Linked DNA regions of Schizosaccharomyces pombe. The protein of the gene in region 2 interacts with the protein of the main gene of each other region in a pairwise test. Each region holds a gene or a part of one and is shown on either strand. Other genes may lie near its edges. The genes, in order: tif222, ntu1, spo7 and tea3.

The links.
Region 1: the proteins of ntu1 (region 2) and tif222 interact in a two-hybrid assay, tested with the Schizosaccharomyces pombe proteins (one large-scale study listed by BioGRID).
Region 3: the proteins of ntu1 (region 2) and spo7 interact in a two-hybrid assay, tested with the Schizosaccharomyces pombe proteins (one large-scale study listed by BioGRID).
Region 4: the proteins of ntu1 (region 2) and tea3 interact in a two-hybrid assay, tested with the Schizosaccharomyces pombe proteins (one large-scale study listed by BioGRID).

The regions. Positions count from the first base shown.
Region 1 is NC_003424.3:1,670,331-1,675,761, reverse strand, and holds tif222 (translation initiation factor eIF2B beta subunit), read left to right. Parts: upstream 1-2,085; 5' UTR 2,086-2,106; coding exon 2,107-2,320; intron 2,321-2,372; coding exon 2,373-2,763; exon of another isoform or gene 2,764-2,781; intron 2,782-2,809; coding exon 2,810-3,386; 3' UTR 3,387-3,565; downstream 3,566-5,431. Other genes in the region: tit1 (tRNA isopentenyltransferase), read right to left, coding at 511-1,815; glutamyl-tRNA amidotransferase beta subunit Gta2, read right to left, coding at 3,691-4,878, 4,949-5,185, 5,252-5,407. UniProt on the Schizosaccharomyces pombe protein: Acts as a component of the translation initiation factor 2B (eIF2B) complex, which catalyzes the exchange of GDP for GTP on the eukaryotic initiation factor 2 (eIF2) complex gamma subunit.
Region 2 is NC_003423.3:4,241,745-4,249,641, reverse strand, and holds ntu1 (regulatory protein ntu1), read right to left. Parts: upstream 5,898-7,897; 5' UTR 5,643-5,897; coding exon 5,553-5,642; exon of another isoform or gene 5,485-5,552; intron 5,283-5,484; coding exon 5,252-5,282; intron 5,145-5,251; coding exon 2,782-5,144; 3' UTR 2,216-2,781; downstream 1-2,215. Other genes in the region: SPOM_SPBC16G5.17 (transcription factor), read right to left, coding at 142-1,824; DNA-binding forkhead transcription factor Fkh2, read left to right, coding at 6,980-7,491, 7,784-7,897.
Region 3 is NC_003424.3:3,245,062-3,254,078, reverse strand, and holds spo7 (ArfGEF Spo7), read right to left. Parts: upstream 6,321-9,017; 5' UTR 5,482-6,320; coding exon 1,525-5,481; 3' UTR 1,198-1,524; downstream 1-1,197. Other genes in the region: pcd1 (coenzyme A diphosphatase), read right to left, coding at 1-566; histone H3.3 H4 heterotetramer chaperone Rtt106, read left to right, coding at 6,372-6,453, 6,499-7,122, 7,167-7,591; RNA-binding protein Nop9, read left to right, coding at 8,854-9,017. UniProt on the Schizosaccharomyces pombe protein: Appears to have a role in sporulation.
Region 4 is NC_003424.3:3,213,171-3,221,004, forward strand, and holds tea3 (cell end marker Tea3), read right to left. Parts: upstream 5,104-7,834; 5' UTR 4,898-5,103; coding exon 1,520-4,897; 3' UTR 1,343-1,519; downstream 1-1,342. Other genes in the region: DNA-binding transcription factor Thi1, read left to right, coding at 1-1,136; cardiolipin-specific phospholipase Cld1, read right to left, coding at 5,782-7,068. UniProt on the Schizosaccharomyces pombe protein: Acts as a cell end marker required for efficient new end take-off (NETO), whereby growth is activated at the cell end to generate bipolarity in extending cells. Also required for proper placement of the septum.

The DNA.
Region 1 (5,431 bases), on a different chromosome or scaffold from region 2:
TGGTAAGGGTGGTGCATCTCACCACTGTCCATTAAGACTGATTTTATATCGATATGACGTTGCGTTATTACGCCTTAAACCCTTTTTAACATGGTATTTGTCGACCGGCACTAAAATGCTGCGTAATGCTTCACTAATCGATCTTGGTATGTACAATCCTAAACGTAGCTTAATTCTAGTGTTAAATTGTTTATAACTTAGTCACAGAGAAACTGAAAATTCACGAGCATTACCCTTGTAGTATTAATCTAAAGAAGTAAAATCTTTGCTATGGAATCCTCTGTCGTCTCTCCATTCTTGAAGGTTTCAAGCATGATTATTCAGACTAGTTCGTAGCATGCGTATATAATAATAAATTTCACTATTAGCTTACAAGTTAACGCTCTAAATCTGGATAAATAAACACTGTGCATCCATCTTGAATACTTCAATAATGACCATTCTCCATAGCTTTTTATGACTTATATTATGAACATGACCAAAAATATAATAATAAATACAATATGGACTTCATTTTAAAATTCCAATGTTTTTTAAACGAATTTGACGCTCAGCTCTTTCTTTTTTACGTCGCACCGTGGTTTTATGCTTCCTACTTTTAATATGGACATTGAACGCATCTTCTCCTATTACAGTGAATGGATCACCCCGCTTGTCTAAACATTCCTCGCAAACGAACTTCTTTTTCTGAGATTGGCGACCGTTCATTATGGAGAGATAATCTCTGGCTTTTTCGAAAGCGTGCTGATCATCAGCAGATGGAGCAATGGCATCGCCATTATAAAAAAAATATTGAAATACTCTACAAGCCTTTTCAACTTGCTCTTCCCAATTGTTCAAGTCCGTAGTGTTTGTGGTGGAAAATAGAATTGAAGAAGGGGATAAATCTTGTTGAGCCAAACACATCGGGAGGAATCGACTTTGGATCCATTTCTTCTGAGATTTTGCATACTGTCTAGTAGAAACCTTCATTCGTTCTAAACAATCATTAAAGACTATATCCGAAGGCGCTTCAAACCATGGCATGAATTCTTTAAATCCAATACATTGCCAAATCCCACGGGTGAAATCAGGAGAAAATTTTTCACTTTCAGCAAGACTCTTCATGCTTTTTATTTCATCAACCAATCCATGGCTTAGCATTTTGTCAACACGTTTATCAAGTCGCGGCATTAAGACTAAAGAATCTGCGAACGCCCAAAATATTAGAGATTTGTATCGAAGTTTAGAGCCACTTGACTTCATTTTTTGCTCAGAATAAATTTCAGATGGCGGTCGACCGGTGTGAAAATATATCTCTAGGCTTCTTCGAATTTTACGAGTATCCCGAGGATGCCATTGCTCAGCCATCACGGGATCTATCTTTTTTAAATACGAAAGCATAGCAGATGGATCATCATCCAAGATATGAGAGTCCGGATGGGGTGGCTTACTAGGTGATGAATCGTTCGTCAATTTATCAATAGCCGACAAAGTAGTATCTTCAAACAAAAGGGACTGCAAATAATAATGAGTCCCTCCAACCACAATAGGTATCTTTCCTTGACTGTGAATCTCGTCAATTACGCGGGAGGCATCTCGTTCAAACTCGGGAACACTGTATTCTTTGTCAAAGTTCAAGAAGGACATCAAGCGATGATGAACATTCTCTTGCTCTTCCACAGTAATTTTATTGGTTATAGTATCAAATCCCCGATAAATTTGCATCGAGTCAGCATTAATGACTTGGCTTCCAAACCGTTTCGCCAGCTGAACTGCTAAATCCGACTTACCAGCTCCTGTAGTACCGATGACAACGCAAAGGGGCTTTAACATTTTATAAGATATAGATTTTTACCTTATCTTCAATAGATTACACACCGAATCAAGCTTAGACTAACAAATCCATTTCCCAAATTTTCCCAAGCAAGCCTGGCTCTTTACCAACTGATTTTACCTTACATTTTGTTTTGGTTCACTATCCCCGTTCCTTTATTGCGGCGTCAACTTCGGTATATGCTTTAACGATGTTTTAATTACTGTAAACAAGTTATTACATTTTTACAGCGTTCGTATTTGTTCGTTATTAACATGTAAACACTACTTGTCGTTTCCCATCGCCTGAAAATGTCAACTATTAATGTTGAACATACCTATCCGGCTGTAAGTAGCTTGATAGCAGACTTAAAGTCAAGAAAGGTACAAGGCCCCTTTGCAGTTGCCGTTGAAACGGCGCTGGTAATGAGACAAGTGATTTCTCAAACTCGCTGGTCAACAGTTGATCAATTAATTGATACAGTCCGTGCTGTTGGATCTACTCTTGTCAAGGCTCAACCTACTGGTATGTATTTTGAATCATATTCTTTTATTGTGTTACATGCTAAACCGTGAAGAATTTTCTTGTGGAAATATTATTAGAAGAATTTTACGCTTAATCCGCGAAGAATATCAAGAATTATTAAAGACTGCTGATGAAAATGAGAAGTTAATCGTTTCTTCATCGAACTCTTCTAGCCCTTCTCAAAAAAGAGACATTCCCTCTAACGAAAAATTGGTTCAAAGTCACGAACCTGTTTCAGTTCAGATGTACTCTTCTATGCTTAATTTATTAGGTCGTCCTACTCTTGAGTCTCCCACACATAGTAAAACCGTCGGTGACAGTAGGGTCACCGGTGGCATGGATATGCGCGCTGTGATCATATCTGGCATCCAAGATGTAATCGATGAGTTGGACAAGATTAATACTGATATTGAAGTTCAATCAATGGACCATTTGCATTCAAAGTATGGTGTCATGCTAAACATCTTATCAGTTAGCTAACCTTTTTAGTGAAATTATTTTAACTCAGGGTTGCTCAAAAACTGTTGAAGCTTTTCTCCGTTTTGCCGCAAAGAAACGCAAATTTTCAGTGATTGTTGCAGAAGGATTTCCCAATAACCAAAAAGGTTCTCATGCCATGGCAAAGCGATTAGCTCAGGCTGGTATTGATACAACTGTTATATCTGATGCTACGATTTTTGCAATCATGTCACGCGTGAATAAAGTTATACTTGGTACGCATGCAATCTTGGGTAACGGAGGATTGGTAACCTATAGTGGAGCCCAATTAGTTGCTCAGGCTGCCAGGCACCATGCTACTCCCGTAGTGGTGTGTTCGGGTATTTATAAGCTTAGCCCTGTTTACCCTTATGACTTAGAATCCATTATCCAACTGTCTTCACCTGATAAAATTATGTCCTTTAATGAAGGTGATCTAATAAGCCGCGCTGAAATTTTAAACCCTTACTATGATTACATCCCACCAGACCTAGTAGATCTGTTTATTACCAATTTGGGTGGCTATCCTCCTTCCTACCTTTATCGTATTATGAATGATACTTATGATGCAAGCGATACAATTCTTTAAAGAGTTTGCATTCTATTTTCTCTTGGAAAATTGATTACCTATTAAATCAAGTTTATCAAATTTCTTTACACGTGTTTAGGTAAATATTAAAATTTTGGAATAAATAACATGGGTTACATTAGATTGAATTTTTTTAACTGTGGGTTTCTGTTGCAAGTAATACAGGCAATTAACTCAGCAAAATAAAACTTTGAAATTAAAGTAAATGGACTATGAATTTTAACGAGTTTCCTTTCATTGTCTAATGATTTGAAATATGCAGTAATTAAAAAAACTAGGGCCACTAATATACAAACCAATTTGATTACTTTTCCCTTCGTAAACTGCTTTGCACTTCCATCTCAATGTCTTTGGGACTTGCTTGTCCTCGAAGCTCTCTCATCGTAAGGCCAACAAACCACTTTATAAGGGAAGTTTTACCATTTTTCAACTCTTCAAATTGTTTTGAATGTTTACTAAGAACACTTTCTACACAAGCTTTTATTTTCTCGGAATCGCCAATGGTACCAAAATTTTTTTCTTGGATGAGAGTAGATATAGGTTTCGATGAAGGTGATTTTATCAATGAACGAAGGAAGAGTTTAGCAGATGCAGCTGTAAGTTTCTTCTTGGAAACAAGAAGTACAATGTCAGCCAATTGCAAAGGAGGAACGATATTGATGTTAGGGGAAGGGTCAATTTCACGAACTTTTCCTACTAGTTCCACAGTGATCCAGTATGGAAGGGTACGTAAAGCATCCTCTTTCAAAGATTGATTTACATGGCTTATAGAATCGATATGGTGGTACGCATTTCTGTAGTAGTGATAGTATTCCTTCACACTTAATAATGTACGGGCCTCTTTATGACTAATGGCATGAGAACCCGTTGTAAGCTTTTGGAAAAGTTCGTCAGGCAGAGCAGGTAATGATTTTAAGACAGAATTCACATAACTCCGAGAAAGTATGATTGGGGGGATATCGGTTTCAGGAAGAAATAGATAATCGTCGGAGGTTGTCTTATTACGAAGAGGAAATGTTTTACCAGTGATATCGTCGAATCCCCTCGTTTCTGAGGGCCAAGAAACACCCATATTTGCCAAAGAGACTTGTCGGTCCACTTCATGGCGAATTGAATTTACTACATTTCGTACATTTGACAAATTTTTTAATTCAACACGAGCCAACTGAGTACCTAATTGGGGGAAATGGGATATGGATTTCTCTACTGATATCACTCCGTTGTTTTTAAAATGAAGTTCATTTAGATTTTCTGAAGAGATGACTGGCGCGATTGAGACATTAACATCACATCTCATCCCTCCATTTTCCATCAACGCCTCAGATATTCCAGCGAAGCGAACGATGGATTGCAATTTAAACAAGAATGCAGAAACAGTATTGACATCATGAAAGCAAGGTTTAGTGACGATTTCCAATAACGGAGTTCCTGCTCGATTATAATCCAGTAAGATTCGCGATGGATTTTTAGCAGACGTCGATTTTGCAGTATCCTAAATATAAGTTTGTTAAAATACTTTTCAAATCCAGTATATGGAAAGTTGTTTTGACAATGTTTCTTACCTGTTCTAGTTGAATATGTTGTATGGGGATTTGAGTATCTGGAACATTGTCCAAACCAGCCGACAATGGTATAAATCCATTTCTTCCTATAGGAATTTCTTTCTGCGTAATCTGATATCCCGCAGGTAAGTCTGGATAAAAGTAATGCTTTCTGTCGAATTTGCAAACATTCGCTACCTCACAATTCAGTGCCAATGCTCCTTTCACTGCAAACTTTAACGCTTCAGGATTCAAAATCTATAAAAAAATAAAAAGTTAATAAGCTGTGATAATTGAAACGCATTCGATTCTAAAAAAACTCACCGGCATAGAGCCTGGTAGTGACACATCGAAATACGCAACACAAGTATTAGGCTGTGCAAGAGGGTTAACCTTTGCTGGAGAAAACAGCTTTTTCACTGTTGCAAGTTGTAAATGTATTTCCAATCCAATGGAAGCGGCCCATCTTCCAAAAGACATTCTAAATAGCTTCCATTGAAGTGT
Region 2 (7,897 bases):
ATATTTGATGTAATTTCCTACAAATTAATAATTTGTAAAATGGCAGATCATCGAAATCAAATAAACGTAGCCGCAAGGCATTGATCCTTTAGAGAAAAACAAGCATAGCTGTACATCCACACTATTAGAAGATTATATAATTTATAAGTTTGGTAATGGAAAATTAAAATTAAAATCAAATATGTCGGTAAAAACCTGAAAAAGGTTTTGGTCGTCCAAATCTCCATGGTCTTCTGAGAGCTCTGGTTCTACCGAATTGATTGTCGTGTATATATTCAGAACGTAATGAATCCTTTCCCATACAATTCCCGGATATTTCTTTTCCTCAAGGGTAGCCTGTACTGATGCAGTTACATTCCAAAAATCCTTTGGGACATCGTAACCCCTTTCGGAACAAACATGTATTATAAGAAACGTATGTGTAACTAAAATTAACATTGCTTTCAGCCAACCGTATTTTTCGAAACAATCCATTGAATTGCTAATTAATCGTGACAACTGTATCGATGTTTGGCCAAGCTTTTGAACAATATCTGGATAATTGGGTACTAAAGTACGGCTCACAGTAATAAAACCTTGATAAAGATTTTTACGTACTGTCCAAAATACGGTTTTGAGAAATAAATAGCGAAAATGAATATCTGATCCATCGATATTAGAAAACTTCGACTCTATTTCCATTAAAACCAGCGATAGTTGACTTTCATAAAACTGAATAGAGTTAACGAATTCGTTTACAGTCGAAGTATGAATAGCTTTATATATTTCCAAACCACAAGTTAACAATTGCCCGAGTAGTGAGTGAAACTCATAACTAATAACATCTGAACCCATTTTTCGCTGAGAGAGAAGTTTGCCGTAAATATCGTGCTGAACCCAAGGCTGGCAAGATCGTAAAACACATTCCAAAGCATCTATCTCACAAATCGAAAGCCAAACCTCCATATTTGCTTCATACTCGGTATCAGTATTTTGAAAGATTGGATTAACAAAACATGCGTAATGAATTGCATAACATAGATCAGTGTTCATACTTCGAAACTGGTTTCGCATGCAAAGTTGCGCCCTTATAGCATGCAGTCGAATTCTGTCAATATTTCTCCATAGTCGAAATATTACCTCCTCATTTAAAAAGTCATCAATTTTTGAATTTAATGCATCCGATAGTTCAATGGCGCTATGATTAACAGCCGAAAAGTATCTTTCAATATTTGAAGGAAAGGATTCTAACGAAAGTGCTACCGCAATTGCTGTAACTATTAAAATAATAGAAGTCGCGAAAACATGGTTAGAATTTTTCAGATCAGATAACAATTTATCAGCTTGCTCAAAATCTAAAATATAATTTGTTACATTAAAAGTATTAGCATAAACTTTTAAAAGGCTTTCGCATACATCCCAAGGAGGGATAGTTTCTAAAATACATTCTAATCGTTTTTTCAATTTAGGATCCGTTTCTAAAGCTTCTCTTAAACGTGATTCTGGATCTCTCTGAACAATACCTTGAAATTCAGCCGAAGATTTCAAAATTGTTTTCCAGTCTACGAATCCAAACTTCTGGGTTTTAGGGAGGTTGTTTTCTTCCAAACGCGTCCGAGTCTCTTGATGAGCAGAACTATCTGTTTCTCTAGTAATTGGTCGGCTTAAAGGTTCTTCAAGAAGTTGGACTGCTTGCTCGTTTACTCCATATGTACATGATTCTTCACTCTCTTTACATCGAGAACAAGGATATTGGCGGTCACATTTGACTTTTCGGCGCCTGCATCTCAGACAAGATCTAGCTCGAATATTTTTGTGGGCCCTATTTTTAGATTTCCCAACCATAATTTACCTAATTACGGTATTTCTTCTGTAGTAGAAAGTTGGATATTTCTATAAAATACAATTCACCATAAAAAATTATACGCACAAACTAAAGGTTTCATTCAGTATTAACCTGATAACCATCGAACTTTTAAGCTGGGATTATGCTTCAATTGAATCGATGAGACTACTAATATTTTACTGCAAACATTTTTATGAATGCAAAGGCGGTGTCAACGTTGTGTGGTGGTAAATATTGAGTGTGCAGGCTTAATTATTTAAATTCTTCAACGTCTAAAATACAGTGTAAGCATCAGATCTCGATACCATTTTTTTCGCAGAGCTTTTATTTAGAAGATTTTTATAGGGATCATTTTTTTAGCCTAGATGCCAAAGGTACTCAACAATACGTTCCACAGTTGGGTTTGCAGTTGCTTACAAAATAAACAGCTAATTGTCATTTTAGTAATTATACATTCCATCGTGAAAGAAAATGCACACTATTAAAGTTTTTAGTTCATCAATTGCTTTGCAGTAATCCATTATAATGTAGAACTTCAACGTAACTTTACTCCAAAATTTTTAGCTTTTAACACTACTTGGTTATTCATTGCTGATAATAATGCGCGTAAATATCACTAGCTAATGGACATGAAGCAGTAGGCTAACTCTCTAAGCTTGATCAAAAGATCAAAAAGCAAATCTATCACAAACATCTAGGAAGACAGATAATCTAGATATTCAATCGTTCTATTATTCAATAAACATAAAAAGCTAATCATCAACCAAACAAAATATCACTTAATTAAAAGGAACAAAAAATAAGTTTTTTAAAAATGTCAATGTTTTTTCTCATGAGCAAACCCTAAAAGTTGGAGCTAGAACCCTTATTAAAGATAAAAAGTGAAGCAAGAATTATTGCAGAAAAAAAAATTTTGAAAACAAAAGTGAGTTTCTATGCTTAACAACATTGATCGCTCACTCGGTTCTTTTAGAGTTTGAGGAACTTGGATGGTCAGGAGAATTATTAGAACCATCTCGGACAGTAGGATAAGCAACTTGGTTAGTCATGGAAGGTGGTTGAATGAAGGGATACGGCATGCCAGATTTTGCAGCTCCAGGTGCCATCATAACCCCTGAAGTAGGCAGTGGTAGCATTTGTTCTGACAAGGGAAAAGGCGGGTGCTGGTAAGGATACTGTGAATATGCTTGGAAAGCCTGAGGCATATTCGAAGTTGGACTCATGTATGGAGGGTATGAAGTATTATACGGGAAAGGTACTGGAGAATAGGTGTTCGGAACATAAAAACCATTCGCTGTTGGCATTGAAGAACCATAATTAATCATAACCCTATCATGAGGGTATACATTACCATCAGAATAGGAAGGATATCCGTTTTGTCTAGGATAAGATTGATCCTGTGTACGCCCACCATACGTAGGCATAGGGAAATTTGTTGGTGCATTTTGAAACTGGGCAGGATTATAGTAACCTGGGTAAGGAGCATCTGAATAAAATATTTGTGCTTGCGGAAACTCTCTAGGTATATTACTAGTTCTCTGCGAAAAGTTGTTTGGTAGTTGTCCTGTAACATCCGGGGTCGCATCCAAATTTTCAGTACCAGATGAGTTCATATCATACGCAATTAGCAAGTTCTTGATTGCCTCCATTATTGTACTATAGTAAGTGGATTCGCGGTATATCATTTGTAGACAATGAAATCCTAATCTTGCCTTAGTTATGAAATTATTAGATTTATTGGCATCGTCCTTCGTCAAAGTAGCACAATATGTCAAGGTCATTAACGCGTAGTATCCAGAATACAAATTGAAAAACAGTTTGGGAGTATTTGGAGATTTGGCCAATTCCTGTAACAAAAAAACAACACGCTCCGCAGATTGTGCACACTTTAAAGCAAAATTTGCAGGTTTCATTGGCGACCCATTCTGATTATCAATTGGTGTACTAATACTGTGAATAAAAGGGCGATAGAAAATGAGTTCTATTTGCCTGAATTTCAATTCCAGTATTATTGCTTGGATCCATTTGGGTGAAAATTTTGGAACTTCGCTCATTTTTAAATAAGAAGGTAAGTTTTTCCACCAATATGTAAGTTTTTCTTCATGATCACGAACAGCTGGTAATGAAACTTTACAGTGTGAGTCAGAGGGCGATTTGACTGGATACACTTTCCTTACAAAATGACTTAAAATACGAGAAAGCGTTATGTGTTGTATAAAAACTTCCAAGCTAGTGCATTCTGATGCTATTAATCGTGGAGGAACCTGGTCATTTTCTAATGTGAAATCAAAAGAATTGGGTAACGATTGATCAATATCAACGTCCTCAATACTGAGAGGAAGACCAACAATTGTACTGGTGTAACAAGCCAAAACGTACACAGAATAAAATACCCGTTTGGATAACCGAGATTCATGAGATGTGAGAACGTCTGAAAAATCCTTGTGCAATCCCAATTCGTGGCAACACAATAACGCATTATTCGTGAACGTATAAGCTTGAGAAAGTCGGGAACTGAACAAAGCAAAAAGCGCAACAGACAATAAAATTTGCACAACTTCAATCGTATAACTATCTTCCCATGAAAATGAAGACCGAATGTAATAGTAATACTCGTAAGCTTCATGATAAGGATAGTTAGCACTAGGAGATTCATCGGGCATATAGGTGTAACCCAAGCACAATGTAGCGACAAGTAAAAAATGAAAATTGTTATCAGTCTTGCCAGTTTTGTAATACATATGCATCTTCTCAAAGAAAGATGCAGGATGATGAATATGTACCAAAAAATGGTCATTCATAAAAAATTGGCTAACAATAGAAAGAGCCTCCTCATATGGAGGTAGCTGAATTTTGAGAGGCGGTTTTTTATGTTCATCTTCGGCAGGGGTGGGTGGAAGATACGGAAAAGATAAAGGATCTGGCTGAGAAGAAGATGAATTAGATTCTTGGACAGGATTGGGAACCGTAGAATTCCTCGCAATGTTTTGATGTATATTTTTCATAAAGACAAAGCCAGAGGAACTTCCACGAAAGTCGGCTTTCCCATCATCTTTTAAACTCAATTGTCCATACCGGTCGAATAAGCTTTCAAACTCGTCCTGTGACGAGCTTCTTTTAGAGGAATCAGAGCGTTTCCAAGGAGATTGGTTCACAGGAGAATCTTTGTCATTTGGAGGAGCCAGAAATGATGGCAACTTTAAATTTGGATCGCTTTCTTCAGCCAGTCCCCTCAGATATTTCAATCGAAGCTCCAAAAATTCTATATACTTCTCAGGAGCATGCCGTAATCGCTTAAAAGGTTGACCATAAGTACATTCTTCAACAAAGTTAGAAAACTCCATCCAATTATAATAGAGGCTTGAAATAAATTTTAAAGCGACTAAACTTGAAGAAAATAATCTCATCTAAATTGTAGGCACTTACCATAGTTATATGCTATGCAATTCGAGCAAGGCTGAAAAAGTTAGTAAAGAACAGAAATTTATATTTATTTCTAATCGCTCATCCAAATTAATGCAAATAAGATAGAAAAAGAGCAATAAAAGCCAAAAAAATAATAAATTAACGACAAAGGTTATCCGCATGCTCTCTAGCTGAACTGAAATCAATCAAGCTACAATCAACTTCAGAGAAAGCGGTAACTGGGTGAAGTGAGTTCTCAGTTCCCAACTCAAATAATAAAATTATGCAAAACATAAATAGAGCAAAGAAATTGACATCTTACCCTTCTCTGATCACATTTGATCTTTCTCCTGTGACATTCATCACATGCTCTAGAAACACGCTGTCTACGAGATACATCGCCGGAAGACATTCAGCAGCCTATCAATAAACTATGTTGAAGCCTGCTAACTTCAAACTTGAGGGAGAACAGGTCTTTTAATTTGTATTTATCGAATCGTTGTTACCGGTTTTTACAACCGAAAGTTAACGCAAGTGAGCAAAAATGCAGTTTATCATTCAAAATTTAACGCTTTGAAACTAAAGGAATTTGGTGCTTTAGATAGGTAAATAAATAAATAAATGGTGATCGCTGCGAAGCGATTATGGATGATATACGCGACAGGTTAAACCTACGAGAGTGTGTGCCAGCGATCGTATACATCCGCTAAATAGTAATTACTCGTTACTTCACGTTAGCATACATGTGTAGGTGAAGCAATGAGATTATACCATGCTAAATGTTTTTGTTGCGGTATGTTAAATATCGTTATAAGCCTGACATCTTCACGTGTGAGTTCTCCAATGAGTCCTGAAGCTGGAACCATCAAGCCGTTTATTGACTATTTTCAATATTACTGAAGAAAAAAGTATGGGAAATAAAGATCATTCAAGATCAAGTTTGTCTGTTCATGTAAGCCACATATTATTTATTATAATATCAAAGTCTCTCCGTGCCTGAGTTATGTTCGGTAACTGTATATTGCATAATACTTTCTGTTGTGTACCACACATTATAGTGCGCTACGAACTCACCAAATAATATTACGTATCCTACAGAGACTTCGCGAATCGCGTAGTTAGTAAAAATATGGAAAATAACGTGAGTAAACAGTTGAGCGTTAATATTGCAGCCACACAAAATCGGTTGATTGAAAGCGAAATAATGATTCGGAATTTCCATAAAACACAATTAATACTCTTAGTGTATTCATGTAATAGCTTGTACAGTTCTCAAAATAAATCTTCAGTAGACACGTTTTAAATAATAGGGTAATTACTAGGATATGCACGCGACCGTTAGACGCCATTACATGTGCAAAAAACACTGAGTGCTGAAAAGCTAAAATTATTACAAGTCTTGCAGAGTTATGATTGTTTGAGTTTTTTTTTTTTATAAGTTAATCCTACGCCAATATATTAAGAGGATTTTTTTAACTGCTTAGTATTTAAAAAAGTATATCGAAGATCCGGTATCTTGATTGTTTACAAAAATATAAATAGCAACGATAACAAAGACGCATTGTTGACAAAAATAAAAAATGTACAAATATTTAGAAAAATGTATATTTTAATTTCTATGTATCTAAAATGATGGTCAATATTAGTTATACCGTGAAGCGCTGGCAACGGAAGGTAAACGAATGTTGACAACAACAAACGAGTGTAAATAAACACACACCAACAGCACAATTGCTGTAGAAAGGAAAAATGACTGTTCGCAGACTCGAAAGCAAGTCTGAGCATATATCAGATGACGAGGAGAGAAAAGAACAGTTAGATTACAAAAAGCAAATGGATGTAGACACAGATCGTAACATTGTATTGAATGGTCGCCTGGAATCCCAAATTGCGAAGTTGTCCGTTCCACCTCACGAAATGAGAGTGGTCGATGATTATTCGAACAGTAAAAATGCGGAAAGACACTCTGGAGAAATACAAGCTTATGCGAAATTCGCTGGAAGTACATGGACTTATTATGTTAAGAAAATTCGAATTATACTTGGTCGCGAACCAGCAAATCCTTCACCAAAGGGGAAAAATGAAGATTTAGAAGTAATTGATATGAATTTTGGTCCTTCTAAAGTTGTGAGTCGAAAACACGCTGTTGTGGAATATGATTTGGATGACCAAACATGGAATTGCTCAGTTTACGGTCGAAATGGCATTAAAGTAGATGGCAAGTTATTCAAGAATGGGGAAACAGTCAAGCTTACAAGTGGGTATGTTAAAAATCATTTACTAGAATAGTGTTGGTTCGTCGTGATTTGCGACAGGACGGAATATTGATGGTTTCAGCAGCGCATAATTTATGCTTTACTCTTTCATAAGTTCTATGGTTTTCTCGTGTTATTTGTCAATTTTAAACGAATGTTTGGTTATTTTATAAATGCGCGTTAAGGATTTGTCAAATTATCAAGAAAATAATTATTTCCGTCCTAGTTCAAATAAATGCAGGAAATTATGCCAATTATTTTTTTTTATTTCTTTTTCGTCTTACTAATTATCTACTAGATCTATACTCGAAGTAGCGGGTTTACAAATGATGTTCGTACTACCCAATGCAGCTGAGCAAAAGCAAACTGACGAAAGCACTATAAAGGAGGATGCTATAAAGTCTGAAATTTC
Region 3 (9,017 bases), on a different chromosome or scaffold from region 2:
GGAGGGAAAGTAGTCAAGTAAGTAAAAAAATTAGGGAGGAATCCAATTTCCTCGTAAGTTTCTCTTAATGCCGCATAATAATGAGAACCGTCTGAAGGTTCCACACGGCCACCAGGAAAGCACATTTGTCCAGCATGAGAACGCAAGTTTGGAGAACGTTGCGTGAGTAGTAAAGAAGCTCCTTGAGAAGTGTTTACTAGAGGCATCAAAACAGATGCAAATCTCGTAGGCTGGTTAGTTGGTTTTAATGGTAAGGTGGGGCGATTTTTGTGTAATAGGTATATTTGATGAGAAAGAGAATCCATGGTCAAATCTCCGTTCTCGTTTACCACGCCATTACTCACCAATTTCTCAAGCGGCGACTGGTGAAGATAGGTTACATGGTGCGATTGACTGCTGAAATAATGCCTTTGGATGTATTTAATAGCTTCAAAACAAACTTGATTGTTTAAAATACTATTTCTTTTTGAAAAAGTATTCTTTAGAGGACTCCAAATAAAGCCTACCAAAGAGTTTTGCCTTGTTAAAAATCGTTGATGACCTTTCCAGCGGAGCTTTAGCTTCATAATTTGGGATTTCTTGTCCAACTCTGCGAATTCCGCTTTTCACCAGGCGTTGGAATGTAGAACTTCTAGCAATCTAAAATTGATTAGTACGTATATCTATTAAGATGAAGTCGTTTTATACCCTTGATGCGACGTAGGTGGAAAGTAACTCTACTATAATTCGTTGAATCATACAAAGTCAATAATAATTTAAAGGTAGAAGAATAATTATGAGTACGTTTTATCAATAGTGATTCTTTAAATATCGGGCAATTGTTAAACGCCTGCACAAAAGACGCGATATGTGCTCAGGTTATGTTAACCGTTAGCGCCCTCCATTGCGACGTGACTTTGCAAAGAAGGATTATGTAGAGTTTTATCTAAGCGAGAAAAAATTAATCAGAAATTAATGCTTAAAACAGTATTATAAATCAACGAAGGTGAAATATAAAAGTACTGCAATTTCTTTCTGTTTCTATAATTGCTTTATTCCTTATTAATTGCATACACCTCTACTCATATTGTTTTATTTCAAAATAGGTGAAACTTGGACTTTAGCATTCTGGTAGCTATAGCATGTATCCAAGTTCTCGCAAGCTGTTTGATTAAGTATCTAAGTAAAGTTACTATTGTAAGTTTAAAGCTAAAATGAGCGGTAACCAACGTAGTTATTCAGTTTCAACGAGCGCGTATTAAGGCATTTGAAATAATCCCATCGAAGCATATATTGCAATAATGAAATATTCTATAACTGGATGTTATCAGAAGTTTAAGCATAAAAAAATAATAAAATGACAAAAGATTTGTCAAATCTAAATAAAATCAAAATACTTTATTTGGAACTCTCGACAACTATTAACCCTCTTCTTCAGAAGCTAAAAAAAAGATATCTAAGTAGCATTCTCTCAATCGGAGGCCTAATGTCTTTTCATCACTCAAGTTTATTTATTCGTTTAACTACTTTGAATGAAATTTAATTTTATAATCCTTTAAAATCATAAGGATATCTTACAGGAGATAAAGTTGGGTAGAAATCATGGGATTTCCGATATTCGTACTCGCATTCCAAAACTCGCTGGTACTCTTTGTACATCATTGATCGTTCATATAGAAACTTCATCTTTCTATTCCAATTATCCATTGCTTTGAGGTAATTTTTAGATCCGGCGGCAAAACATTTCTCCATTTTTTCAGGCAAAGACTGGAAAAGAAGGCAGGTTTCCAGTAAAGAAGGAACACAATCTCGTAAAATATGAACCTTATCACGCAGTGGACGAGGAATGTCTTGTAATCCTTGAATGTCCATTGGACTCCACCGTGTTAATTGAGCCAGGTCACCGACAAAGGTCTTGGTTCCATCAGCAGCAGTATAATAAGCCTTTTTCTCAGCTCTTGTTAAAATGTACCCCCAACCATATTCAGTGTTTGTAATATTTTCTGGTAGAGGAGGGCAAGTAATCATGGCTGCATTAAAATTTAAAGAATGAATCCATTCGTTCATCGCTAATACGCTGGGCGCTTCAAAAAGATAGCACTCATTTCCTGGAATATTTAGATAAAAGACATTATTGCGATTAGAATTAATTGATGGAGGTAAATTGGGAGATGCCAAGCAAGATTGCAAGCCAAATTCTCTATGGATGGGGCTAACATTTGAGCAAGCATTTGGATCTAAATGATCTGACTTATAAAAGATTAGTTTTCCACTATCGACAATACAGTACTTTTTCTTCCAATAACCTGCTACCCATCTATTGTTTTTGCTTAAAACCATTTTCTTATATGAAATCATGCCTCGTCGGTGCCATGGTAACCTGTTATGAGTCTTTTCTTCTTGCATATGATGAGTGTAATTAAACACCGAAAAATGTGGTCTACCATCTATAACTGATGGTTCAGGAAGATCAATCTCCTTTCCTGCGTAAATTCCTCCATTCTCTTCATTCAAAACAAACGAAGATTCCTTAAAAGCATCACTTTCAAGACTCGTGCTGTTTTTGTTTCCAGAACTCTCCTGCTTTAGTAATTTTGAACTTTTCATTAATTCAGATATCAGAGATGATCGATTCCTTTTGGGAGTCAAATCACCTCTTACTTGGTTGTGCAACTGTGCTTGCACGGCATTTGGTACTGCAAATGGAGACTTCAGAAACGTATCATAATATTCTTTTAGCATGCATTCAAGTATGAAACCGATATCGCTTGGTAAATTGCTCCACGTTGAGAAAAGCAATTTGGCAAACGTTGATCGGTTCTTCTTATATTTGAGCCAATGCTTTTTGTCCTCCTTCGACAAAATACAAACTGAATCTGGAGATATGAGAGGACGAAGTTTCTCGAGAGCATATTTCACAAAAGTTTCCATCGGAACGACATAAGAATTGAGCTTTTTAGAATAGGTTGATTTATGTAAATCAATTAAAATCAATACTATTTTAACAATAATGTCTTCATTTAAAAACCCATAATTACTATTTTGCTTAAGCCAACAAGATGCGAAGACTTGCAAAATAGGAGAGTGTATGTAATCATCCGAGCCATAGTAAAGATCACAGCATAATTTTTGAAAGGAAGCGTAAACATTTAAACTTGAAAAGTCATAGTGTGATATGAATTTTACATACACATTTTCATATTCAGATCCCAAACTAGCAAACCAATCTGTAAAATTGTACGACAATAGCTGCTTCTCTAGCAAATTCCGTAAGCAATTGGATAAATTAATGGGGTCCTTAAACTCTGAATTGTGACATACCTCGAACAATTTCAGTTGAGAACGGTCGTGTAAATTCAAAATAGTTAAAAGTGATCGTGGAACTTTAATTCTTGGATTGTTTTTAAATTCCAAAGAATTGGGAGTTGCTATTTCTTCGGAATTGAGATCACTCTTGCTATCACTTATAAGCAAAAACTCTTCTTTAAACTTTGAAGCGCTCAGACCTTCGTTAGCAAACGTTTCATCTTCATAATCTTGTAGGAACGTTTCCTGAATATCCATAGTTTTGACATCTGGATTCACAAAAACTTTTTCGCCAACCTGCTGACTATTTATGCGTGAATTGCGTAAATTGCGCATCTTGCGAATTTCTTCAGCTGCGTTTTCATGGTGAACTGACTGAGACTTAATCTGACTTTGCAATTGTTGAATATAGCTACGTTCATCATGACTAAGATGCTCTCGGTCATCCAATAGTAATTTTGAAATTGAAACTAGACCTTCGGGGGTTTTGGGTGAAGAAAACCGATTTTCACGCAACATTATTTCGTTTGTAATACCAACCTCCGAAAGCACTGAATAATACGCAACCAACGATTGTTTTAAGCAAGAAATCTGCTTTAGTGGTATTCTTTGGAATCTTGAATAAACTAACGCAAATTGGTGTTCCGCGATGTCTAAAGGGTATTTCCTGAGCAAAAGTTTTGCTAATTTGCAAAAATATAGGCGGTCAGAAAGATTTTCAAGTAAATACATTTTGGGATCAGCATTAGCAAGCTCATTTTTAGTGTTAAGTTTCGATACCTGTATACGACTATTGATTTTGTGTTCAGTAGCGTTCAAAGTTCTTGGATGAGGGTTCAACTCTAAATTTTTTTCCATTTTTATGCTCGGGTGTACATTACCATTTCCAGCTAGACACGCTCTCTCAATTTTTGAAATAACTTTCTCTGATGGATTAACTACCTTAGATATGCTGGAATGGGATGTCGGTTCAACATTGTTTATCGATTGTGGCATGTAAATATTTCCTAGTTGTTTGGCTAGTTGTTTAACATGACCCTTGGGAGGAGCCTCAGATGTCGGTGCCTTTGTTGTAGGAGCCTTTGTTGTAGGAGACTCTGCTGCAGCCAATGCTTGTGGTTGTACTGAATTAGAATCTTGGTTCATTAGTAGCGCAGTCTTTTCCCTTATCACTTGCAAAAACTTCTGAGAAGTTGTCAGAACTGAATCACCGACTGACACTTTTGGTGGTACTTCCATTGAACCATTTTTAGCAGCAAATAGGTTTATAGCTTCCTTTATTCTGTTACATTTTCTGGTGGAAGCCCGATAATTAGGACCTAAATTAAAGGGATTCTCTTCTAAAGCATTTGTAGTATGCCCTTTAGATAAATTTGAAACATAGTCCCTTTTTCTATTTCTCTCCCTAGCTAGCTCGATCCTTGCTCTAACATTTTCCCCGGAATACTTCCCCTGAATCCTCCTCTTAGCAGATAAACTAATTTTTTTTGAAGGAAATATTTCCTGAGGAAAATTGGTAACGACTATCGGAGGCGGCGTTCTTTGGCGCTTTTTAGAAGATGGAAGTTCTTCTTCATAATCTTTCAAATCACGTTTTAATGAGTAAGAACCAGAGGAAGCTCGTACGCCGTTGCCGAACATGGATTGAGAAGGATGAGAGTTTACGGGTTCACTAAATATTCGTTTAGGCTGAAGGCTTAAATCAGAAAGTTCACCATTTGTTCGAGGACGCCGGGTTTTAATAAACGATTCTTTGTTGCTTAACTTGCTTTTAACGTTAAACATATGATTGTTTTCAGCCAAGATTTTCTCAGACTCCACAGAATTGGCATTGGAATTGAGAAAAGAGCGACGATGACTTATAAATTCCTGAATCTGCTTCAAGCGTGTCCTTCTCTGAGAAGATTTGTCTTCTCCAGAAATATTTTCCGTTTTGCTTTTAGCGCCTTCCGTATGCAAATTTTCTTGACAAATTATTCCCTTTGATTCCTCAAGTTTGCAAAAATCGGTTGTAACTTTAGACCGCTTCAACTTCGAAAGCAACGCTGAATGCTTTTGGCCGGAAGTATAGGTAGGCTTTGATTCTCTCACAGGACGACAAGTGATGCGACTATCATTGCACGATTCCAACTTTGCAATTTTTTCCGAAACACTTAAGCTTGTTGGGGAAGATCCTTCTGTTATTCTAAAATCCATTCTACCTTTTTCGTGGATAATTATACAATTGATTAAAAGAAATTAATAGTTATGTCGGAAGAACGCTTAAAAAATACAATATGAATATAGGAATTCTTTCAATCGGTTGATCGCGAAAGCAATTAGGATAATTATGTAAGTTTTGTAAGGACAATTATCAAAATTGTTTCCTTAAATATTTATACAAACCGTCAGTTTTGAGGGAGGTTGAGGGTAAAGGAAAAATAGGCAAAACAAATAGCTTATGTCTTAAAACACCTCATTGCATTAGACCTAGCGAACAAACTATTTGTTTACGTTTGTAAATGTCAACACACGTTGATTACATCGGGAACAACATAAACCAATAAAACGAATTTTAGGATCATTTAATAATTTCTTTGACAAAATCGAAACAATAACAACTTTAAGGGAAACCATATCCGATTATAGGAGCAACAATCTGACCTTCCCAATGCTGAAGAAAGCTAATCAGTTCTACAGCTGAAATTTATCTATAGATCGCAAAAAGAATCAAAGGGAAAATCGATATCGTTTCACAAAATGTTCCCAACTTTTTTGGACTTTTCATACGAAAGTAACTGATACGATAATAGAATGAGTTTTTATCTCATTTATGTAAAATGACTACCTTTGTTGAGTAAAATTGAGCAATTATAAATTAAGCATATTCATATTGATCCATAAAATAAAAATTTGTTGCTAACATAAAGTCAACAGCGAACCGAAGTTTGAACGTAACCACTTGGGATAAAATTTTTATTGGATCGAAATCATTTGCATGATAATGGAAATAGTTGCTATTACATTTGTTACTGTTAGCTGAGGTGTGGTGTGCTGTCGAAGCCCTTGTTTAAGACTCAATAAATTCTAGCCGGCAGCCATCTCTAATGGAGTCCAACGTGAACGATGAAATAGAAAAGGCATTTGCCAAAGATTCTGAGTTAGCAAAAGATATAATCAAACAATATGGTAAGGTTTGAGTACATGCTTTTTTCCTTAGTCTAATGAAATTAGGGAAAACAAAAAGTATACAGCCTCTAGTGCATCGAATTTGCAAGTACATCAATACATTGCAAAAGGAAAACGAATCAGGCCAAGTGAAGGAGGCTGGAAGTTTAAAACGAAAGGATCGTGTTCAACATGAGTTAGGTCAATTGGTCTATGGAGTACTTAATCTATCGTTTCAGGCACCTATGCGAAAAAAGCTAGACGTCTACATTTATGAAAATGGAATAGCAGTAACATTACCAGGCGAACCCAATTTAATTGAATTTTGGCTTCCCTGGAATGAAATTCGTTGTGCAATCCATGTCCCATGTCCAAGGAAAGCTAATGTTCAAAACAACTTTGTGATCATCCTTAAAAGTGAATCGTCGGCAGAAAATATTGTTTCAAGTGATAATGTAAAAGAACCTGTCTTTTTTACGGCACCGTATCCTTTGAAAAAGCTCAACCTCGTTGAAGGTTTACGATCCTTCACCCACTGCACGAACTCATGGGATATTTTTCGCGATTACTTTGAGTTTATTGGCACTAGTACTTTGTCTCCTTCTGTCGAAGAATTTGTTTGTCCAAACCCGCAAACGGGGGACAATGGCACGACATATGGGGTTGAAGCAAACTATAAAGCTAAAGATGGTATGCAAAGGATGAATTCTGTGTCAAAATTGCTAATCAAATAGGGCATTTATTTTTTCTGCGTACTGGCATACTATGGGGCTTCCGTAAACCTATACTTTTCATTGAACTAGCTAGCATCCAGCATTTTTCCTATAGTAATGTTTTGCAACGAACATTTACAGTTAATTTTGAAGCTGGTGGTACAATATATTCATTCGATATGGTTGATCAAAGTGTCTTTAGAGCAGTAAATGATTACGCGACAAAGCATGGACTAATGGACTCCAGTCTTGCTGAAGAAAAAGCTGCACCAGTCCCTAAAAATCCATCTGTTTCATATTTGAATGAGGCATCATCTCTTGAAAATGTTGATGATATGGATGATATTGATGTTAAAGAACCTTTATTCTCTGATAACGACGAGGATGTCGAAAACAGCGACAGCGAGGACGGTAGCGAATCTATCGGTTCAGAGGACGAAGAATAGAAAGTTGAATGTACATAAATTTTTTTCTGTTTTATTTATTACCAGTTTGTTTTAATTTAAGGATTTAAATAAATTTAAAGTCTTCTAGCAAAAGGTTATCTGTGAGCTATCCAAATTTGTTTTAGACTCAAGTTATACACAAAGTTGTCGCAGGATACATTTTTTGTTGATAGTTTAAAAAGTGTGGATCTGGACTTTGTGTGCTAATCAATAGATTTACGCTCCCACTTGTTTGAGTTTTCTCAAAAATTACCCGACCAACATGTAAATATTTTCTATAATACTAATTTATGAAAATTCCTAATTACCTTATTCGATCTGCCGCTCTTAAAAAAGGTATATAATGTAAATAGCGGTTATTTAAAGTTCCTGATGTTCATTTTAACAGAAGGGTAGCTGAGTTTAAGCAAGAATTACCTGAACTGCCCATAATTTAATTCACAATTAGCATAAATCTTTAAAAACTCTTTCACGAGATTTTTTAATTATTTTTTTCAAAAAAAAAGACGACTATAAGTAACTAATTGTTTAATTTTTTACATTAGTTTTTTTCTTTGTCAATAAATTACTAAAATCTTTTTCTGAATGTAAGAAATTAAATAATTTAACAATATATCAACTCATCGACTGTTATTGAAGGATCTTCTTCTTAAAAAGAAAGAAAATTAATTTAAGACAATAGAAATGTTTTTGATTGATATTAATGATTAGCTCTTCTAAAATGCTGTTGCAATTTATCTAATCATTATTTATTTACATTTTAGTTAAAAAGCTATGTTCATAACGTACGGTAAAAAAAATAGGTGACACTTACGCAGTTCAGTGTCTTTTTTAACGATACGTAAAACCCGGTGATAATTCTTGTGACCTATTATATTATAATAAGTAGGTTAATAAGCGCTGACCAATGTAGGTATTATATATATGGGTCAAACTGTTACCTGTCACTAAATAGTGCTTATTACTGTACCTCGTTTCTCAGTTAAGTTGTAACTCTATTTATAATCTTACTGATAATTTTTCTAGAAAAATATCCTAGTAAATAAGAGGATAATGTCCGCAATGATCAATACGCGGATCTAACTGGTATTCTAATATATGACATATAGTGATGAATACCCTAATGTAATATAGCGTAGTGTAGTATTGCTTGCACAATAAAACTTTATACCCCCATGCGTTATTAAAATTAAAGAGGCATAACAGAAATTATTTCCAACAAATTTTCGAATCCTATAATGCTAATTCAATCCTAGAGCAAAATGCCAAAAAAAAGAAAAACGCGTGGTAAAAAGCACTCTGCCAAACAAAAGGAGGAAGAAGTTAATTCAGTTGTTTCTCCCGGTATTGCAAAAAACGATGAAGGCGCTGGAAATGATGAAGGTGCATATCAGGTAAACCGTTACACGAATGAACCAGTGCAACC
Region 4 (7,834 bases), on a different chromosome or scaffold from region 2:
TGTTGTGGTCAGTTTTCTGTATTGACCGTTTTGTAAGCATGACTACTGGAAGACGCCCTAGCATACCTTTGGAATGCATTTCTATACCTTACCCTGTTATATTGCCCGATTTAGAAATACCGGGTTCTCAGTCTATCGTCGAAAACATGCGTGCCGTTATTAACTTGGCTAAGTTAACAAATGAGATTTGCGATTCGCTGTACTGGAACCCTTCTCCAAGCTTTGAATCGCAAGTTAATTCTGTCCGTAGGATTTATGCTCGTCTAGAGCTTTGGAAAAGTGATTTACATTCTTCTGTGGTTTTTGATGAATCGGCTGTTCAGCATCCACTCTTCCGGTCAAATGCACATGTTCAAATGATATATGATAATGCGATTATGCTTACTACGAGAGTTATTATGGTAAAGAAATTAAAAGATAAAGATTTAACTGCTGAAAATCGTCGCTACATCCAGCTATGTGTTGAAAGCGCAACAAGGGTCATAAACATAGCACATCTTTTATTAACACATAAGTGTTTGTCCAGCTTATCGTTTTTCGGGCTGCATGTTCCATTTGCAAGCGCACCTATTTTACTCTTGTCTCTTCATTACGAAAACTCTCAGGATATTCAAGCTGTAGTCACAAAATTATGGCAGGTATTGGAATTTCTGAGTTCAAGGTGTGAATTTGCTAGAGAAAGTCTAAACTACCTTAAGTCATTTAACAAACAGTTATCTAGGCGCAATGCCCCAGACATTAATAATCCGATTGCAGATTTCCAAAATAGTTTTCAAAATTGGCAATCCTGGGTGGGAGATATGTCACATGGAGACATGCTTTCTACCTTTAAGCTTACAGGAGAAAGCTCAAATGGTAGTAATAGTACTCCAAACGAAGCATTCCAACCTTTTGACCAAACATCATCTCTCTATAATGTTCCGGGTCTAAACAAAAGTTATGTTAGTAACCAACCCAGTTTGCTCACACCTGAAACTTTTCTACCGGATCCAGTTCTCAATTTGGAAGTTGATAAACAATGGACGGCTCCTACGTTTTTGAGTTGGACGGAACTGCTAGGCCCTACTAATGTCTCTGAGCAGTCTTCGCATACTGCAGAGCAAACTTCAAATTTGACCCTTGAAAAAAATGGATGAATCTTTAATGGTTTTTTGCAGGTCTTTGTTTGTTTTAATTATTTCTACGTAATTCATCATATGCTTTGTTCGCGTGGTTAAGGAATTAGCATTTAATACCAGTTTAGTAATTTGCACTTGAGAGTATCCTCATCAATCTAATACTTTAAATTTTCTCTTACTTTTTAAAAGTTAATTAAATTTCATTACTTTTTAAAATATAAATGAGTCAATGTAAATGCAGTAGAAATAATTGCGTATTTTATTGTTAAATATAGTGGTAATTTACATACGTAGTCAAACGACTTGAGATTAAGTAGAAAAAATCAAACCACTTCAAAAAATTATTAAGAAAATTGTACAAACCAAAAAAGAGATAAAAAATCCTTAGTTGATGAATAGAGTTACATAAATGAATGACTAAGCTGCTGAAATGACTCATCTGAGCAATTGGCATATGTTATGGCTTTTTGATAATCATCCTCCAGTTGCTTAATACGACTGGCATAGTAATTATCATCAATTGCACGCATTTCTTCACCTGAAAATGAGCCCGCGGTATCATTTAGTTTTGAGCGAACATCATAATAATCTTTAGATACCTGAGGGGACAAAGACAAAAATTTTTGCTGACTGTTGATAACATCAGAAAGTCTTTTATGTAAATCATTGTTATCCGGGGCTTTTGTTTCTTCAGATGTCATCAAATTACCAAAATGATTACGATATTTTGTAAACACACCACCAGAAGGTATGTCAGATTCTTTTGAACTATGTGCAGCACTAGCATTATTGAATGAATCCTCTTCGTTAAAGTATGATCTTAAGGGAGAGGAGGAAGCTGAAAAGTCCGTAGGAAGATGAACGTCAGTAGAGTCCTTTCCTGATAACTGTTGATTCATTTTTGAATCAGCCAATGCAATTTGTACCTCAGAGAGCTTACGCTGAGTAATTTTTGCTTGCTCGGTAAGATCATTGACCTGATCAGAAAGTTTACTTTTCTCTGTCATTACAGAGGAATATGAATGCTTTAGATCATAGAGCTTTTGCTGAGAATTTAGTAGCTCTTTAGTGCGACCCTCACAAAGTCTCTGGGACTCACGTAACAACTCGTGAAGCCCTTCTAGCTGAGACTCCAAGTAGGAGATCTTTTGTTTCGACTTCGAAAACTCTTTAAGATTATCTTTATTTTCGTTAATAGAAGATAATAACTTTGATAATCCGCTTTGCATTATAGCTTTCGAGTATTTAGCATCAGACACTGATTGTTCTAAGGCTGACTCCAACTCTAGCGCACGAGATTGCAAATTTTCCAACTCAATCCGAACATTCTCATATTCGTACTGTAAATTTAAGCACTTCTGTTGCAACGTACTTTTCTCATCCCTTTCTCTACGGAGCGAATCTTCAAAAGACAATATGGCAGTATTGGACACATCAAGAGCACTAGCGGATGCTTCAATCACATTTGTCTGCATCTCCACTCGATCATGCATCTCAATTAGCTTCGTTTCCAGCTCATAATTTCCATACTCCAAAGCCTCGCAACGAGAACGATAATCGACTAACTCTTCTGAAATTTGCAATATCTGTGATTGTAGGTTTTCATTTTCTTTTTGTAAAGATAGTATTTTTGATGAATCTTCTTCAAACACACTACGAAGTTTATCATAATCTACACAAAGTTTCTCATTTCGAGATTTTAAGAGTTCAGAAGCGGATTCATTTTGCTTCAATAACTGTTGAAGTTCAGTATTTTTTTGATAATAAGAGGTTGCCTCTTCAAGAGTCCCTTGAACTTCGTACTCTAACTTTCCAACTTTTTCTATTAAAGATCCAACAGTTTCGTCCGTTGTCTTTTTCTGGATCAGTGAACGTGAATAATTTGCATTTTCCACGGCAGCATCTCTCTGAGCAGCCAATTTTGCGTTTTCAGATGCTAGGCTAACGATTTGCTTTTTAAACTTTTGTTCATTAGATTCAAGCATTTGCTCAATCACCTTCAGTATTTCCAAATAACTGAGCTGCTCTTTTTTCTCAAGCCTCAATTTTTCATCAACGTGTTGAAACAGGTTAGGAGGTTTGAGAGTATAGCCTTGTTGCATACAATATAACAGTTGCTCCTCAAGCCAAGCTACACGATCATCAGAATTAGAAAACTTAAAATCTGATTGGAGTTTAAGCAGAGAATTACTTTCACTTTCGTTGATTGGAGATGAAGATTCGGAAGACCTAGAAATAGTATCGTTTCCATTAGGTAAAGGAAGAGACGCAATAGGTTTCTCAATTTCGTAAGCAAAGGGGTCAGCTTGCCCAAACTCGTGAAGAGAGAAATCTGCTGAATGATTCATTCCAGAGGTTTTACTAAGGTTTCTCAAAGAATGTAATCCTTGTTCATCCAAGCTAGCATAGTGCCGATGCCTAGCTGATCTTACGGCTTTTTGATTTTGCTCCAAAAAATTGTTAAATTGACTAGACGAGGTGGATGTCACAGAATTCTTTTTGGAATGATTAGGACGGTCGTTTAGGTAACCAAGAGAAACCGTGTGGTTTGAAGCATTTGAAGGTTTCATGCTAATATGCTGAAGAACAGGAATATCAGAAAATTTATCCTTATCCCAATACAAATTTTTGGGATCTGCTTCATAACATAACAGTTGCTTAGGAGCGTCAAGTGCATTAAGATATAATAGTAAAATATGATTGTTTTTTGAAACAATTTTGTATGAAGATGAATCAGAAAGCAAAATAGGGATCGGATTTGAGACTAAGGACCACCGCTGTTGACTATAATTAAAAGCCCAAAGCTCGTTGAGTATCAACCCTTTATTATCACGACCACCATAAATGTAAACCGTGTCATCTATTGTAGTAGCTTGATGACCTTCCCGCGGACCTGGAAATCTTCCTATAGAACGAACCTCGGTCCATGAAAGTGTTTCTAAATCAAAAAGCCAAAGATCACTTAATGGACCAGTATCATTATGCCCTCCATGTACAAATATTTTTCCTTGGACAAGAGTAACTGAGTGATTTGAACGAGGTGGAGGGGATGAGCTATGCAAAAACGGTGTTTCCCATGACCAATCAGTCTCATCAAATTCCATATTAGCCTTTTCAACATTATTTGCATTTGCCTTTTGCTTGAGTTCTGATTGCGTCCTCCGATCAACCCCTTTGGTATCAAACAAATGTATATCATTCAAATATTTTCCTTGACATTCACCCCCAAATATCCATAATTTAGAGTCAACTAACAACATAGAATGTCCAGTGCGAGGCGATGGTAAGGGGGACTGTGTTGAAACCAAATTCCATTGATTACTCTTGAAATTGTATGCGTACAATGAATTATCGCCAACTTCAAATGTGGAATCTGTTTCTGAGTCGCATCCTCCGAAAAGATAAATAGTGTCAGCAGAACAAACGATAGAATGACCAACTCGAGCAGGAGAATCATTGTCTTCCCCTCTATTGTGAGAATAAACCGTGCATGAATCCAGGTCCAACTTAAACAAAGAGTTTGAAATACCAGATTTTTCTCGTCCTCCATGTAAGTACATGAATTTTTCATTCGCAGCATCTAGACAAGAAGCCGGTTTTACAGCTTCCCATTTAAAACTTTGGTTCGTAGATGTCCTTTTATCATTTTCTTTGACTTTGCGAACAACCCATGCACGTATATTTTGCTGATCAATGCTACCGGATTCCACTACATCAAGCTGTTCAGCAGACACATCCTGAGAGTTATCCGATTGACGGCTTAAAACCTTTTGAACCATGTATTGCGATCTTTACCTTGCAAAATCGCTTACTGGTTTTGCAGTTGCAGATGGTAATCAAAGCGAAAGTTTAATCCAAGGAGTTTTTTAAAAGGTTCGGTTTTTACGCTTAAAAAAGAAATAAAATAGAAAAAATATATATTTTAGTTTTAAAAAAGAATTAAAAAGTAAAATTTTCGAAATAATATGAAAAGAGCATAACTTGTGGAGGGTAATGGAAACACACAGTCCATCAGGAAACGGCAACTTAGAGTAGAGAAGTCTTAGAACAACGAATACAATTGCAATACCCTACAATAAATTTTTGTAATACTGTATGATGTTTATAATTTATATCTTCATTAAACATAAAGAAGGGAGAGTAGATACAAGTTTAAGCGCAATAGTATACATTACCGTTGAATGCTCTGTTTGAATTGAAATTTAGAAGTACGAAATATGCTTCACGTTTGAAAAGCTTAGAGCAAGAAAAATGTATTTTTCCAATTACTCTATAGGATAGAATTTAAAATAGACAACCACAAAAACTGTTATTTACTTTATAAGCTAATTGTAGTAAATGGCCTACAAATATTACAAAATTTGATTTATAAGGCACATTTTAAAAATAAAACATTTGAAAACACATGCTGGACAAGTAATCGGACAAAAAAATAAAATTGCGATAAATGAAGCAAATGAGCGTCAATGCAATAAAAATCGATTCAAAATGGACCGATAAAAAGTTAGGTAAAAAAAAGTCGTTCAATTGGAATCCAAAGAATAATGTGTAGTATAAATTAATGAATGAGGTCTATAACAGCATCACATGGGATAGTTTGCAGGACAAGAAAGAATAAATAAAAATAATGAAGCACTAAGCGAAGGGCATAAAAAATAAAAATTTACTCTGAAATCGAAGAAAAAGAACGTAAACTCATTCGTATCTCCTTTAGTACAATCTCATTAAAATCTTCAGGGTTATCAAGATAGCAATGGTGACCAGCATTTGAAATTATGTGGTGCTCCGCCTCAATATTCATCTCCTTCAATCTGTTTGTCGCTTCTAAACCAGCAACATCATCCATCCAATCTTTATCTCCATACATGAATATAGTTCGACACTTCAACATGCGCAAGCGATTCATAATACATCGTCTAGCGAAAGCTCCGGGAGCGAGCAAATTGCCAAGTGCATACTCGCTGGAACCCTTGAGACGAAATATTGAGTAGCAGTAATTATGTAATGCCCTAAACGTTTCCGGGGGAAGCGTTGAAAACCTTCTGCTAGACCAAAAACTCATTAGTTTAGGACCTAAAGGCCCGCTTAAACGAAGTAGAGAAAATGGTGTAACATTTTGCTCCCATAAGAAGGTGATAAATCTTGGAAGAGGATTCTTTGGCTTGCTTGGCCGGGAAGGCTCTAAACCTGTAGTTTCCTCTTGGGTTTGCAGAACCTCATTAGTAACATTACTTAAAGGAGGTTCATCCATAACAGCATGCACAGCAGAGGAAGCAACGGAATTGTAAACTTCCGCATCATCGTTGCTTGCAAAAGGGTTTTCAGGAATGGCAACTGGACTAACTAGTAAGAGTTTCTCAACACGTTCCGGATATTGCATGGCGTAGACAGCAGACAAATAACCTCCCATACTATGGCCCACAAGGATCATTTTCTCGATACCATGACCGATTCTCCATGTTTCTAATGACTCAGTGAAAAACCTCTCTGTTTCTTCGACCTTCTCTGAAGCGGTTTGCCCCTTGATATCGAAAGGCGGTCTTGACGAGTTTCCCATGCCTAGCCAATCAACAAAATAAGAATTAAAATCCTTTGTCACACCCTTAGTCAAACCATCCATGTTCCGAAAGTAAAAACCAAGACCAGCTCCATACCCATGCATGTAAACAATGCTTCGCTTGTTCGCTTTTCCTGTTGCTTTATCACTAACACAAACCTCATGTACCAATCCATCATTATCGTAGATTTTGGAATCTACAACTTCAACTAACCTTTCTGGGTCCTTTTCATTTTCCCGAATAAAATCGACAGTGTGCAGGACTTCACGCTCACATTGTTTCGCATATTCTTCAGAGCATGCTTGACGCCATTGCCTCCAGGACATGCCAAACGTTTGCGTATAAGAATTAGCTGCTTCCTCACTTCTCACCGCGACTTTCACTTGGCTCATAGTAACGGTGCAAACGCTGAATTCAACACAAAATGGTCAATGAAGGAGTCAACCCCGCGATAATGACAATACAAACAAATTACTGTTTATGAACTATTTAAAACAAAATAATTCCGATATTTAAATAAAATTCCGGATATTGGCTCGGCAATTGGAATTCAAAGTGTTGTGCTGTGGGTAAGTTTATGTAAGCAAGATACGAAGGTTTTGATCTGACAAAGCAATGGCATTGTAACAAGCAGCGGAAAAGCAGCACATTCTCTGACTTTTTTTCGTTAATCTTCGTAACATTTTGGCTGAATTAAAAAAAGGCGAACAAATGATGAAGCAAGTTTTCATGAAAATTTCATAGAAAGACAATTGAGGTTTTAGTTCAATACTTAATACAGCAATTGTTCAAATATGATAAAGTCCCTTTATGCAATAAATACTTCAGTGCAGCAGAATATTAAAATTTGTTTCCGGCATTGTTATTGACAACACTATTGACATTGGTCATTGTTATGAACATCTAATAATTATTATTTTTAATTCATATAAATATAATAAGTAACGTATCAAGTATAGCACCATTCATCTAATTACTTAGCAAATTACATAAAATAATACATTCCTATGCACAAAGTTAACATTTATTTTTCATTAAATTTCCTAGATTTCTATCCAGCAACTTAATAGCTTGGAAATGACATGCCAGAAATCGTAATTGTCGAAGGAATAAAAAGGATAGCTAAGAAAAATCCCTATAAAGGATAATCATCTTTTC